Tribolium castaneum: one gene and its partner. The protein of the gene in region 2 purifies or fractionates together with the protein of the main gene of each other region. This does not show direct contact. Links are inferred from orthologs where the notes say so. Each region holds a gene or a part of one and is shown on either strand. Other genes may lie near its edges.

The links. The genes of interacting proteins can lie anywhere in the genome.
Region 1: the proteins of didum (region 2) and Mlc-c purify together in Drosophila melanogaster (affinity purification with mass spectrometry; 3 studies listed by BioGRID, with this or other methods). This does not show direct contact. The link is inferred for Tribolium castaneum from reciprocal best matches to the Drosophila melanogaster genes didum and Mlc-c.

Annotation. Positions count from the first base shown.
Region 1 is NC_087396.1:11,012,906-11,020,657, reverse strand, and holds Mlc-c (myosin-2 essential light chain), read left to right. Parts: upstream 1-4,368; intron 4,369-4,671; 5' UTR 4,672-4,713; coding exon 4,714-4,762; intron 4,763-4,808; coding exon 4,809-5,221; 3' UTR 5,222-5,465; downstream 5,466-7,752. Other genes in the region: dUTPase (deoxyuridine 5'-triphosphate nucleotidohydrolase), read left to right, coding at 5,825-6,197, 6,246-6,391, 6,437-6,493; adenosine 5'-monophosphoramidase HINT1, read left to right, coding at 6,831-6,941, 6,991-7,260.
Region 2 is NC_087396.1:13,116,846-13,125,019, forward strand, and holds part of didum (unconventional myosin-Va), read left to right. Parts: intron 1-2,026; coding exon 2,027-2,354; intron 2,355-4,791; coding exon 4,792-5,045; intron 5,046-5,097; coding exon 5,098-5,556; intron 5,557-5,605; coding exon 5,606-6,094; intron 6,095-6,138; coding exon 6,139-7,436; intron 7,437-7,485; coding exon 7,486-8,066; intron 8,067-8,120; coding exon 8,121-8,174.

The sequences.
Region 1 (7,752 bases), about 2.1 Mb from region 2:
TTAATGGGAATGATATGATTAAAATCATATTTTATGAGTTAATAACAGTCAAAATATTAATAATATATCGATATTACGTCCTGTAATAAATAACCAGAAATTGGATTTGGGAACAAACCAAATATAGTTGCTGACATCTCAAGGAATACTTAAAACATTACAGATCTCAAAATTAATATCAGTACACCCAAATCAAATAAATTAAATCTTTTCTACGTTTCAAATGCTATCTAATTAATTTACAGTTAAGTAATTAACATAAAATTATGATATGCAAAATTTGTGCATGAATATTGAAATTTTAAATCGTTGCACCTACAAGCAGCTTGTGCGAAATATTTATTTTTAAAACAATGTTTTCTTCTTGTTATCCAAATTTGCATACAATGTGTGACAAATTGCTTACAAACTATTACACCGATTTACAGATACGTTTTTAAATTTTATGAACGTAAGATTTTATAAGATTTTGCTATTTTAGGTTGCAAAACTGCATTCCTATTTTTTTGTGCAAACAATAGCTTGTGTTATCGTTGGTATATCTGACCGCAAATTCAAATATAATATTTTAATCTTTCGCAATTTAGTTATCTTGTCGATCTGTCAATTTTCTGCATGGGTAATTATATTTTAATTGCATATTTTAAATTAATTTAATGCTACAATTTGAAAAGAATTATTAAAATTTTGTGTTTATAAAATGTTTTGTTGGTAATACGCATAATTAACTATTTACGTAATGTTTGTAAGTTATAAAATGTGCTTCATGACCTCCCTTTTATTAACTTGTGCACTATGTAATGTGGGTACAATGGGATCAACCTTACTGATTGCAAAGATGATAAATGTATGTATGCAAAGCACTTGTGCATAGCTCAGTAAGAATAGGGCAAAAAAACTTGTAAAGCAGAGGAAACAAGCATGCGAATAGACGTTAATAATTAAATGAAATTTTAATGTAAATCAAACTATTATATTAATTCTAGTATTCTAGCAATCTATCAGTTCACATTGTCATAATTTCAAAAGAGTTCTGTAGGAAAAACGTGTAGGTACAACTGACTGAATTAGACAAAAATGTGAAATTGTCTCTTTACAAATTACTTACGAAATTAAATTCACCGTTAGTAATTATAACAGGTTTTGCCTCATTATTTAAAAATATTTTATATAATATGTGTGATTTTATGCCGAAATTTGAAACATTCAGAAGTCGTTAATGTGTCGTTAGAATTTGTGAAAGAATTTATTTTGCAAAATAAAAAGTTTCTAAAACGTTTCACTTTTCGAACATTTTAATCTCGCTTATTTCTCTCAGTAGAGTATTTTGTAGAAATTTTATTTCTTTTTTTCCATAATGCTCTCTTCTACGTATAATATTGATTTTTTCTAAATATAGCTTTCTCTTCAAAGCACTTTAAAACTTAATAACCGCTCTCACAATTTCTTAATAGAATATTGTTTATAGAACCATCATCTTAACACCGCTTAATCACTAATAACAGCAATCTAAAATCAGATATTATGTTGCAATAAACGCTATAAACATACATAAATATTAAGAAATTTGTCAGAATATGTTAAATTTTATTGGTATAGCAGCTACTTAACATTGATAGAAACACAAATTCTGATAAATTATTATTGCCGATAACTTAATGACAGTATCTAGTTTCAGGTGTTCCTTGTTAGTGGTATCTCTAAACCATAAAATTCTGAATCCATTAATCATTCATCAATTAGCTCTAAATTATCCTAATTGAGATAAATAGTACATTCTGTCCACTTTTTACAAATTATTATTTTTGGACGGTGCTAAATCAATCAGATAATATTCAAATTAAAGTAAATCTTTTCGACTGCAATAATAACCTGTGCAATTTGCTACCGGTTAATTGGAAAAGCATAAGTACGACCCTGAACTGTCTCCGCTGATTGTACTATTAGATCAACTATGGGCGTAGGAATTTAACGTACTTTTTAAAATCACTTTTACTTCTGTTAATTTAATTTAAAACAACTTAATACCGGATCAAAACAATTTCAAACAACCCATAAATCATTCCGGCTTTTGTAAACTAATTGTGGGCAGTCGTAGCACAGGTGCCCCGTTCAAGAGCAAAGTCAATGACGTGCTTCTGGGCAAAATTACCAAAATTCGGTAATTTCTAACGCAAGATTGATAATATCTTAATTTGCACCGGTCGCAAATTAACATTGTAAACAAAATAAAAAAGTTAAGGGCTTGGCCCAGCTCTGATAATGGCCAAATCTTTATAATTAAAAATCCTGACCCTGAAATACTTTCTACATTATAACAAGTTTTTTTCCCACATATTTTATCCGCCAGTCCATACAATATAAGTAAAATTCCAGACAAAAGGCGCCTTCATTAGGAGTTACTCCTTCTGAGTGGGCTCCTGCCAAACAAGGCTAACCAAACCGATTTCCTACCGATATTGCAGCAAGAATAATTTACAACACTCGCAAAGTGCAACAGTCAGTGACTTTCTTCGACTGCAGGGCCGCGAAAAGGACACCGACATTGCCTTTTCTTTTATTTGTCTTTCAAATTTTGTTCTCTGTTATGGCGATTGTTACGTTTTATTATCCGGTTAAACTTGACTCCGCTTTTAAAGCCACTGCCGGCTGTAATGATTTTATCATGTCATAATGAGAATCTGTTTGCTGACATTTGATCGCGAATTTTATACGTGCGTATGCATTTTACATAAATATCTCACACACCTGTTTAATAGGGCGTGCGAAGGGATGGGCGCAAACGACCACAAATTAAAATTTAAACCGCATAATAAAGCAAACTCCTGCACACGGCGATTCCAAAGGAAGAAAATTACATAACAGGTTCATAGATATACAAATTTATGCACCTTTTAATTTGTTGATCTCGTTTTTATCAAACTGCAATCTGCATCGATAAGGCGGGTCGAATTTTATTTTTCTATTTTTATTACTCATTTTCCCGCACCTTTGTTTTATTAAATATAAAATTATAGTTTATTTTTATTATAGTTTATTTAATTTGCCAGTTAAATTTTCAATTTTAGTTTTAAATAAATTATTTACCACAATTTGTAGCATTGTCAAAATCTTGAATAATATACATACATTACCATGTGTATAAGGTGCGAAATGTTACACCCTGCCTGAAATGTATATTTTTGAATAATCCAGTAGATCCAGTACTTACCTGATTAAAGCTAGTTAAGTAATTTATTTTTTATTTTGCTCGTATTTGGTTCAAGATGCAAATATTTATAAATACTTACGTTAGCGCTCTCCTCATTAAAAATAGCTGTTTTAAAAGAAATAAAAATAAGAAACCAATATTTTATTGAGTAGAAATAAAAAAGCACTCAGAGACATTAAAAAGGTGGGACAGAAAGGTTTCATATGTGGAGCACCGTTTGAATTATGCAGGCGCCTCCTCCTTCGTGGGAAAACGATCACATTCTAAGCGTTTCCTCCAGCTCTGATTGAAATATCAAGGTCATAAGACCATGGCTTACTTCGACGCGGCAATTGCTACTATACACAGGAAATTTAATTTGCATAATAGCGCACATGACATACCGATTCTTCCCTAAAATAGACCGCTACCAATTTTACCCAATTAACCTGTCCAATTAAGCATCGATCTGACATTGTTTTTGGAGAACTTTGCCTTGGTTTCGATTCAGTTAATCTAATTATCGAAAATAACTATATTTACACGCTTAATGTAAATTATTGTAAATGATTAGCATTGCAATCAGCAACGAGACGTCAGTCCAAGACTCGAGCGGTTCGCGTAATTATTCAAAATTATGCGACACTTATCTTTATTCAGCAGATCGCTTCAGGTTCGTTTTTTCAGGTGTACATTGCACTTTACGATACTTTCATAAGACATTTCAGCTCGTTCACGTGGCTGATCATGAATTCAGTACATATATTGTTCACCTTGTAGGTATCTTTATGATGGATTTAATTACTTTGAAAATGTGGTTTAGTCACATCATTTCGACATTTCGAGCGCTTCCGGATGTCCATGAAACGAACGCCAAAGAAGCTAAACCATTTTTTGCATAAATTTAATTAAATCGGTGATATTTCAAAATTGTCGCGGTTGCATCAATCCAAATTCCAGAATTCAAAGTGAGCGCCGTGGTGTATTGTTGGTGGCCTGTTTTATCATTGCATTCAACTGGTATCGTTTGACAGTTATTCAGTGTATGCAAATCAAACATGGTAAGTTATTTCACTTAAAATAATAAATTTCGCTGTGAAACAGCGTATTGGTGGTGTAAGTCATTAACGAGCACTTTGCTTTATTGCAGGCAAACTACACAGAGGACCAGATGGCCGGTAAGTAAAGAGAAGTGCAAAACTAGGCTATGTAGCCCCGCCTTACATTCTTCCTCACACATATCACGGTCTTATTTGTACAGTTTCGCTCTATTTCCCCAACAGTTTTTTCAAATAAACTCATTTTTACCATGTGCACTCACTTCCATTTAATTTTCAACCCCAGTAAACATGCAAATAACGCACAAAACCAAAAAATAGTAGGGCATGAACCAGCCCCCAACACCGATGATTCATACTGCCAATTTCATCCTTATATGGTACTGTTTTGAAAGTGACCACGATTTCATCAAACCCATTTAGTAAAACGCAGATGTTCATCAGCAGTCTCCGCATTAACCCACAATGTACCTTTACGAACCCCCCAGTAAACTAACCCTAACTTCAGTCGAAGGTAATTAGTGGTGAGCTTGGCAAAGCTAAATTTGTGCCTATTTTAGAGTTCCAAGAGGCCTTCCAACTGTTCGACAACAGGGGCGATGGCAAAATCCACGTGTCGCAAATCGGGGACGCGCTAAGGGCCTTGGGGCAAAACCCCACAGAGTCCGACGTGAAAAAATACACCCATCAACATAAGCCCGACGAGAGGGTTTCTTTCGAAGTTTTCTTGCCCATCTACCAACAGATTTCTAAGTCAAGGAGCGCCGACACGGCTGATGATTTTATTGAGGGGCTTCGCCACTTCGATAAGGACGGAAATGGGTACATTAGTTCAGCGGAGTTGCGACACCTGCTTACCACCCTTGGGGAGAAACTGACTGATGACGAGGTTGAGCAGCTGCTGCAAGGGCAAGAGGATTCACAGGGAAATGTTAACTATGAAGAGTTTGTTAAGTTGATTATGTCCGGATAATCGGTTGGAGTCCAGGGTAGATCTTTTGGGGTGCATTTAAACTAATTTATTTATAGCCATATTTTAACTTTGATGACTTTTCTGTTTTATAGTGCCTTCATTCCAATTTTATTATAGTATAGAGGCATTTTATTAGTCATTGTACTTATAGGTCCAATATTTGTAATAATTTACCCATTTTTCACTGAGGTTGTTAAGAGCATGTGAGTTCATAATAACCAATAAAAGTATATAATACACATAATTGTTTTATTTTTATCCGTACCTGATTGAAACAATGCATTTTATCCCAATTTGGAGTGGAAAAATATTGCGCAATAACCCAATAAGCAATTTTGCTAACCTATTTCATGTGAGGTGAATTTCTGTAACTGGTCAGTTGTAAGTGCTTAAATCAAAGTATTAAATAACTATTGTGTAATAAGGGATTAATAACGGATTTATTTAAATACGTTTCGTACAAGTGAGGTTAGGAGTTTGAAGTAAAATTGGCAAAATCAGCCTGCAGTCCCTCGGCGTTATCTCAAATTTGCAAAAACAAATGCTCACCTTGAAGCGCGTCTTTGCCGCTTTTTTTCGAATTTTTCTGCCTTTTTGCGGAAGATGCCGGTAGCTGTGCGCCAGATGCTAAGAATTGGCGCCAAAGAAGTGCTAGCGGGCCGAATTCGCGCCTTTTTCGTCAAACCGTCTCGTGCTTTCGTCCACTCAACAACCCCTCAAGAATCCGAAGAAAAGAAAATGCCTACATCTAGTCTTGTCTTGAAATACACCAAAGTGGTCCCCGAGGCCTACCCTCCGACCAAAGGTTCAGTTAAAGCCGCCGGTTATGATCTGAAGAGTGCTTTCGACTGCGTGGTCCCAGCCCGAGGTAAGGCCCTCGTGGACACCGGCATCAAAATCCAGCTCCCGGAAGGGTGCTACGGACGGATCGCCCCTAGGTCGGGTCTAGCAGTCAAGAATTTCATCGATGTTGGCGGTAAGTTGGTTTTTTTAGTTGAGGGCGTGATAACGATGCGAAATTTAGCCGGGGTCGTGGATGAGGACTACAGGGGGGTCCTCAAGGTGGTCCTATTCAACCATTCAGATACTGCCTTTGAAGTCAAGAGTGGCGACCGCATTGCACAGCTAATTTGTGAGCGGATCTATTACCCCGATATCGAGGAAGTTCAAGTAAGTTTTTTGGCAGAAAAAACGTTTTCTTAGATTAAATTACAGGAACTCAGTGAAACGGCCCGTGGAGAAGGCGGATTTGGCTCTACCGGTACCAATTAATTTTAGAAGTATTGTTCGAAACTCAAGCTTTTCTGTGTTAAATATGTGTTCCTGGTTATGTTTCAATAAATCGTTTTACCCCTTTCTTTCATAATTTGTGTTTTTTTGTCTTTTGAGACTTAACCTCTACCAGTCATCAGTTCTTAAATACTGATTTATTAAATGGAAAAAATCAAGGACAGTATTGAGGAATAAGGAATTAAGCTTTCCGTTTTAGAGGACTGCAGTGGTACAGTTTAATTTATTAATTCTGGTTGATTTGCGTTAGAATTTCAAAAATTTGAAAATTTTTCCGATAATGTAGGTAATTTTCTTACCGACACCGGTTGTCGGAAAAATGGCGAATGAAGTGCAGTTGGCCCAAACGGCTTTGCCGGAGGGAGATACAATTTTTGGGAAAATATTACGTAAAGAAATCCCTTGCAATTTTATTTACGAAGACAACTTGGTAGGTGTCAGCTACTGTTGGATTTTTTGAGGTAAAAATGCCATTTTAGTGCGTTGCATTTGACGACATAAACCCGCAAGCCCCCGTCCATTTCTTGGTGATTCCGCGCAAGCCTATCCCTCAGCTGTCCAAGGCTGAAGACAACGATGGACCTCTTCTAGGACACTTGCTAATCGTCGCTCGGAAAATCGCCCAAAAACGGAATTTGAAAAATGGTTTTCGTATTGTGATCAATGACGGCCCAATTGGGGCCCAGTCTGTGTATCATATTCACGTGCACGTTTTGTCCGGCAGACAGCTCCAATGGCCCCCTGGCTAACTCTCAGTGGCTTTAATTCAGTTTTAATTAGCTTGTAATTTACATGTATGTGCTGGTTTTGTGTTTGGGAGAAATAAAACCAAGACTTAGTAAATTAACGGCTATATATTTTTCGTCAAGTAAAATGCATATAATTTGGTAATTGCCAGATACAAACTATACTTATGCAATAAACGAAATAATATAGTACAAATATGAGCTTATAACATCAATTGTGATTCACAAGATGGATCAGCTAAAAAACTTGTAACAAACACTACAAAATAAAACCTAAACATCACGGTATGTGACATCGAATTCACACGAAAACAACTCCATCAATACAGCTTAAAAACAACTGTTGTTACTGCTGCAAATGCACAACATAATTAATTGCAAAAATTTCAGCAGCACCAATTTTGTTCCTTTATTTATGCTGTGACCTGTATACTTTGTACTTAAACCAATTTAATACTTGCAATCATTTCAAGGTCCACAACATGGTTAAACAAT
Region 2 (8,174 bases):
TTGGATCGATGTTGCTAGTCTAATAATAACCAACCTAACAATATTTAAAATCACAAAAGGGAGAAAATCAGATGTAGTTATTTGTTGTAATTATTTATTAATTGCTGTTACTTATTACTTTGCATTACTTGGAAATTTTGAAACACAATAAATCAGAATGAATGTGTATTTAAAGCTTAAACGTTGACAAAATTTCTCTTTGTTTTCTAACTGATAAAAATTAATACTAATAAATTTCTAACTATACTTCACAGTAATGTAAAATTGGCATAGATTACTTTGCAATTTATTTTTTTGAAAATAAAATGGTGACACTACAGCAAGATGCGCTGTTTCTTAAATAGACTTCTGTTTGTTTAACAAATTAGTTACTTTTTGATAAAATATAAATAAAGTAAACGATAACGATGTAAAATAATTAAACTACCTTTTGAAGCTCATAAAAAGACTTCACTTTAATACACCTGATAAACTTGAAACTATAAATTAACCCTATTCCAAGGTAACCATTTTTTCAAATTACCCACGACCATTGATGTTGCCAGCAATAAAGTGAGAGTGATCTGAGATCTTGGAATTTTCTCATGCATGCAGTGAATGGTAACGTTTCATTAATTAATTGGTTCCAATAATCTAATTCTACTTAGTTACAAAAACTGGCATATTGGCCTCATTGCTCCAATTAAACCTAAATCAATAATTTGATCATCGTTAGTTATAATTACGTCTTCTTCACATCGTAAACACTCTTTTAACGCTCCGAAAAATTAATTAAACTTTAATTCGATTTTTTATCACCAATTTAATGGATCTAGAGACATTTCGGTGAAGTTTATTATTGGTTACTGCAAAAATAAATCAAAATTATGCTATGCGATTAGACAAAAATTAAGTGGATTTGAATATTTGTGTCAGAGTGGGTTGATTTCCGCAGTGCTTATGATAATGTGATAAATTAAATCGTTTTCCCATAGTCAGAAGATACCCAAATTTTAGTTTCTAATTTGAATAATCAGAAACATATTCATGTAGTGGAAACAATAACGGATACGGCGTATTATGAAAATTAATTGGTGCCATAAATTTAGGTAATAATCATTGAAAAAACAATCCAAACAATTTCGCTTGAATGGACATATGATATTTAGGCGTGGGATGCAAATACACCAATTTTTTTTTATTTACTAAAGTAACATTACGCCAATTCATAAATTAGAGATTAAGTTACGATTAACCTTGGTTTAGCATAAAAGGTGTTACCGATTTTCTATTGATTTATTATGAAAATACGTAACAAAAATTAATTCTGCTCCTGTTACAAAAAACAAAAGATCATAAATTTATTGTTTCCTGTGTGTGGTATGCCACAAATGTTGCCGTTGCCATTTTCGTCTCACTGAACATGCAAATGAAGCTTTTAATTTTTTCCCGACTGCACTATATAACAATCCAATTAACCAAACTGAATCTGAGAGTGAAAGTACGACCTATTACTTCCAACAACTGGTTATATTGTTATTTTGAACAGTTGGGAGTGCGGCGACTTTTATAAAAATCATGATCGAAAGTTGAACACTGTAAAAATCACTTCCATGTACGGAACTTTTTTATTTTTGCAATATCTATTTTGCTCGATAGCAAATTTAAGGCTTGGTCACACTTTTGTAGTTATCTCTGGTAAACATTTTTTTACTTTCATACATTTCCAATGACGAAAGCACACATTTCGTTACAATACCGTTATGTCCTCAAACTTGGCCGTCTAAAGTTCAAACAAATTCCGTAAAACGTAATCTCGTTTGTTTTTCCAATTTAGCATTCAAGAACATTGAATTATTGTCGCTCGAACGGAACATTTTCATGCAATTTGCGGCGGAATAACGAAATGTAGGGCTTGACAGTGGCGATTGATAGCATCCGTTTCGATGTCAAAGACCCATTTTTGCCATGATTCATTCGATAATCATTCCTTCATAAACATTTATCTTGTCTAGAGCTTATCATCACATTATTGTGTTAATTTCAGGGTGCCAAGGTATGGATACCTCACCCTGAAAAAGTATGGGAAGGCGCTGAACTTGAAGAAGACTACAAAACGAACAAAAAGTCACTTGAAGTAGTAACAGAAAACAACGAAAAGAAAACCCTTACGATCAAATCAGAATCGGATTTACCCTGTCTGAGGAACCCTTCAATTTTAGTCGGGGAAAATGACCTTACATCCCTCTCCTACTTACACGAGCCCGCCGTACTTTACAATTTACAAGTACGGTTCTGCCAAAATCGATACATTTACACCTATTGTGGGATTGTTTTGGTGGCAATTAATCCCTACGATGATCTTCCTATTTATGGTGAGTTGTTAAAACCGTTATGTTACGAGGAAAAGTGCTAATTGCCTGACACAAATATGCATGAATGGATTTTTTCTGTCCGTGAATACGTAATGAATTTATTAATTAAATGGAATTTAGCGAATCTGTGCCAGTATTTTTGCAAACCTACAAAAACAGTTTCTGTTTACTACAAAAATAAATATACCGTGATTCTTTGTTGATTTTAACGGCTACTTTAAAATAAACAATGTTGCATACACAATTTTATTATTAATTTATTTTCATTGAAAATTGACCCACATAACTGAAGGCATATTGACCGAGTGTTTGTTGATATTGATTTTTACGTCTGCAATGTGGGGGTTTGTTTGGACGTTATATTACAACAACTAATTAAAACAAACAATGCTTTTTCTATTTGCGAGCTTATGAAACAGTGACTACAAGAAGGCCTCTCACGTCTTAAGTGACATTCTAATAAGACCGTTTCCTTTGTTTTGAAGGAAAAACCCAAACAATTTACAAAGTTGCGAGTCTTCAGAGAAACCGCAAGAATACTACAAACTACAATTCAGAGCATGACTTATTTTGTCGCTTCAAATTCACGCAATTTGAAAAAATAACTGATTAAAATTTAAATCGAAAAACCTACGTGTACCTAGTACGAGTTGTATTTATTCGTCCTACTATTAAAACCCAAAAGGCTAAAGGTAAAATCAGATACGCTGTCAGTGAGTAAAAGAATTATTATTAAAAGTAAACTGGCTGCACCCACGTGAACTAAAATCAAGGTTGGGAAATTAAGTAGAATAAAAAACAGCGTACTTACCGTACTAATTAAAATAAACAATTTTTTATAACGATCCATGCCGATGCATGTGAAAACGATATTAAATTGCGAGCTTTGAACTAATTTTTTCACATTTTTACTATTTCTACCAACCTAACTGCCAAAAGTTAAAAAAAGTCGTCGACTTTCTCCATTTTAAACTATCTATTAGGTGACAAAAATTCGCCCTGTAAAAATCCACCGCTTCAAAATAAATTATTAGCAATTAAAATTAAAAGAAATAAAATGTCACAAAAACGTCTAGACTCTGTAATTTGGTCCATTGTATTCATAGGGATTTTACTTTCTATATCGCGAATCTTAAAATGTTACGAAAAATTTGAAAGTTGAGACTCGTGAAACATTCACTCGATGAATTGTGGGAAACAGGAATTAAAACTTTAAGGTGTACCAGAGGCATTATATCTGTTTTTCTTGTATCTTTTGATTATTCCTATTTACAATTAGATTGGTATAATTTAGGACTACACCAACGGTCAAATGCTGGTGGGAACCAAAATTAGTTACTCACATCCTGTAATCATTTTGCAGTAATAGACTTTAATACCGGTTTTATAACGAAATTAAAATTGTCAAGGTATTAGCGAACGCTCATTGTTTATATCATGCTATTATCACCGCGATAACACCTACAATTTGCGATAAATAATATGACTCATGTTGTGCAAACACGAGAGTAAGTAAATAACCGCAAAATTAGAAAAATCGTGCATATCGTAAGACGATATTTAATCTTTTAGCTACACATAAAAATAATGGAACAGCACACACCGCAACGATATTAAAACAACGTTAGTAATAATTTGCTACAAAATTTTGTTTGTTAAACAGAACTAGTAAAAACCATGAGAGATTGATGGCATTTTCGATGCCTTTCAAGGATAGTAAAATTATAGCCTGGCATATGCCATGCATAACTTGTATTGCATGTGCACAAATTTATGCAAGTAATCCATACTATATTGTATCATACCCACTTATTTCTTCCAACAAGCAATGATTTAAAAATGAAAATAAACGAGACATGGTTGTACAAGAAAGAATAATTTATTAAATCGTCTTGGCTCGCACTATTGTTGCAGTTTACTTTATTTCCTTTACTTTTTTATTTAAATTAGAAATAAAATAATGTATGCAGAAGCACGGCCGTATATGTCGTTAATTTTTATTGCTAAGATGATTAATTATTTTAAAAAGGTCACAAGTTTGATTTAAATTTAAAAAAGCGGAACCAAAGGCCACAACTCTCTCTTCAGACTGTTTTACAAGCAGGATCATTAAAGGTCTAAGACTCTATGGCAGTTCATCAACTCCACCTTTGACCTGTTAATTTTTGAAATACTTGTAATCACACTTTGTCTCGTACAAGAGTCAAGACAACTTTTCGCACAAGAAATTTAAAGCCATTTCACGCCAATAAATTATAAACTACCATCGCGTATAATGTCAGTAATTTAGCACATCGGGACGACCTCTGGGTCTGAATAATTTAACCGCAATGGTGATTGCAACTCGCTGGCACATTTTCATGGTCTTTGGGCCAAAATTCACCAGTTCACTGTTGTGTGCAAAAACCGTTTCACACACAATCATCGTGTCTTTTAGACGTCGACACCATACAAACGTATAGAGGTCAAGCGATGGGTGACCTAGATCCTCACATATTCGCCGTAGCCGAAGAAGCGTACACGAAACTAGAAAGAGAGCAAAGGGACCAAAGCATAATCGTATCAGGAGAAAGCGGAGCCGGTAAAACGGTTTCCGCGAAATACGCAATGAGATACTTCGCGACTGTAGGAGGAAGTGCGACCGAAACCCAAGTCGAAAAAAAAGTCCTAGCTAGTAGTCCTATCATGGAAGTAATAAAGATAAACACAGTGGTAACCTAGTTATTTACATTTTGAATCATAGGCCATCGGAAACGCGAAAACTACAAGAAACGATAACAGTTCGCGATTTGGAAAGTTTATAGAACTCCAGTTTAATAAGCAATTTCATATTAGCGGAGCGTCGATGAGAACGTACCTCTTGGAAAAATCGCGAGTCGTCTTTCAGGCTCCCGATGAACGGAATTACCATATTTTCTACCAATTGTGTTCCGCGAGAGACCAATTTCCACACTTGCATCTCGCTCACCAAGATAGTTTTTATTATTTAAATCAAGGAGAAAGTCCAAATGTGGACGGAGTCGACGATTTACAAACCTTCGAAGAGACGCTCTATGCGTTGAATCTTTTAGGGTTTAAGAAATCGGATCTGGACGATATGTTTAAAATTATAGCCTCCGTCTTGCATTTGGGAAATATCAAGTTTGTTGAATCGATCATTTCCACGGAAAACGAACAAGACCAGGAGGGTTGTAGCATACTGGTGAGCACTTCCCGCAAACTTGCATTATGTAAAATCAAATCTGATGTAGGGCACTGACTCACATTTGAAAATCTTAGCGGAATTACTCGAGATCGATTCAAAAGAAATGCAGCAGTGGCTCTGTACCCGAAAAATCGTCTCTATGAGAGAGGTCTTCCTGAAACCAATGTCCGTCGAAGACGCGCAAGCTGCCCGTGATGCTTTAGCAAAACACATTTATGCAGAATTGTTCAACTGGATCGTGTTAGTTATAAACAAAGCTTTAGAATCCGACATTCCTAGACATAAATTTATCGGAGTCCTCGATATCTACGGTTTCGAAACCTTCGAAACCAATTCCTTTGAACAATTTTGTATCAATTACGCCAACGAAAAACTCCAACAACAATTCAACCTCCACGTGTTTAAACTGGAGCAGGAGGAATACATTAAAGAAGGAATTGAATGGAAAATGATTGATTTCTACGACAACCAACCCTGCATCGACCTCATCGAAACAAAATTAGGGATTTTAGATTTGCTAGACGAGGAGTGTCGGGTAAGTTGTTTAAAAAATTCCAGACAAACTAATAAAAAAATCAGATGCCGCGAGGTACTGACAGTTCCTGGACGGAGAAACTGTACTCAAAGTGCGCAAAGTATTCCCACTTCGGCAAGGCGCGTTTCGGCACTTCTGCCTTCACCATCAATCACTTTGCCGATAAAGTCCAATACGAAAGCAACGGTTTTCTGGAGAAAAACCGCGACACCGTAATCGAGGAGCAAATCTCGGTGGTGAAAAGGAGCAAAAACGATCTAGTCCGCCGGCTTTTCGGCGACGATTCTCAAAAATTGGCCGTTCCGGGAGCCAAACTCAAAGTGATCTCGGCCAAACCTGCCCCAACCTCGCAAAAAACCCACAAGAAATCGGTGGGGTCCCAGTTTAGAGACTCGCTTAATATGCTAATGACCACGTTGAACGCCACAACCCCGCATTACGTCCGGTGTATTAAGCCAAACGATTCGAAAAAACCGTTTGAGTATAACCCGAAACGGGCGGTGCAACAACTGCGAGCTTGTGGCGTGTTGGAGACGATCAGGATTTCGGCAGCCGGGTTTCCGAGTCGGTGGACTTACGTTGATTTCTTCTACCGGTACCGAGTCTTGTGCAAGTTTAAAGATATCAAAAGAAACGACATGCAGCTCACTTGCCAGAATATACTGAACCAGTATATTAAAAACAAGGATATGTTTCAATTCGGGAAAACTAAGATTTTTTTCCGGGCCGGACAAGTCGCCTATTTGGAGAAATTAAGAGCCGATAAACTCAAAGCCTGTTGCATCATGATGCAAAAAACAATCCGGGCGTTCATTTGGAGGAAAAAGTACCTCCGAATCAAGCGCTGCACTATCAATATACAACGGTATGGACGGGGTTATTTGGCCCGAAAACTGGCCGAAAATTTGCGGCGCGAGAAAGCCGCAAAGACTTTGCAGAGATATGTTCGAGGATGGGTGAAACGTGTCCAATATCAAAGACTGAAGGCCTGTGTGACTGGCATTCAAAGGTATGCCAGAGGGTATTTAGCGAGACGGCGGTACATGCAATTACGGTACAACGCCAAAGCTCTGGTAATACAGCGATATGTAAGAGGGTATTTAGCACGGAGAAGTGCCCTGGCTTACAAGCGGAAAATCGTCATATGCCAAGCTGCGATTCGCCGCTTTTTGGCTAGAAGATTATACAAGAAACTCAGAATCGAAGCAAGATCAATCGAACACGTCAAGAAACTTAACAAAGGCTTGGAGAACAAGATCATCAGTTTGCAGCAAAAGATTGACGAAATTACGAAACAAAACGCGGAATTGATGACTTATAAGGCCGGAGTTAACGAGCTGAAGTAATGATTTTTGTATTAGGGTCGAACTATTACTAATGCTTTTTTTCAGGAATAAATTGACGGCGTTCAAAGCGAATGAGGCTGAAATTAAGAACTTGAACGCTCGTCTGATTGAGAAAGACAAAGTCATTGATAAATTGAAGGAGGATCTTAAGTTGGAACGGGACGAAAAAATTGACTTGATTAACGAACATGAGAAATATCGACAAGAAACGCAAAAGCAGCGTGATTTATGGACGCAGGAAACAAACAAATTGCGTAAAGAGCTAGACAATATCAACGAGATCGTTAAAATGAACCAGAAGGGAGCCGAAGAAAATCTCAAAGTGCGACTCGAAGAGGAGAAAATGTTGATTTTGAATGAGCAAGATAGTGATAGGGAAGCCTACCAGAAGCTTTTACAAGAGTACCATTGCTTGGAACAACACTGCGAAGAACTAGAGAAGCAGTTGAACAATCAGAGCCAAAACCAAAGTTCCCACCGAAGAAATGTGAGCGATCTTAGCAGCATTGACAGTTTTGTTATCAACAGCGATATTGCTGAAGACCACGGTTACGGTTCCGTGAGATCGACCACAACTTCGTCGTCACAAAGAGAAAAACTTGAGAATATCGACTGGAAATGTGAAGGTAAATTGACACGTTTCTTATCTTATCTCATTATCTATTATTTTACTCCTCTAGGAAATGTAGATAGTCAAACACCAAGTACAAGTAGCAGTGACACCAAACATGAAT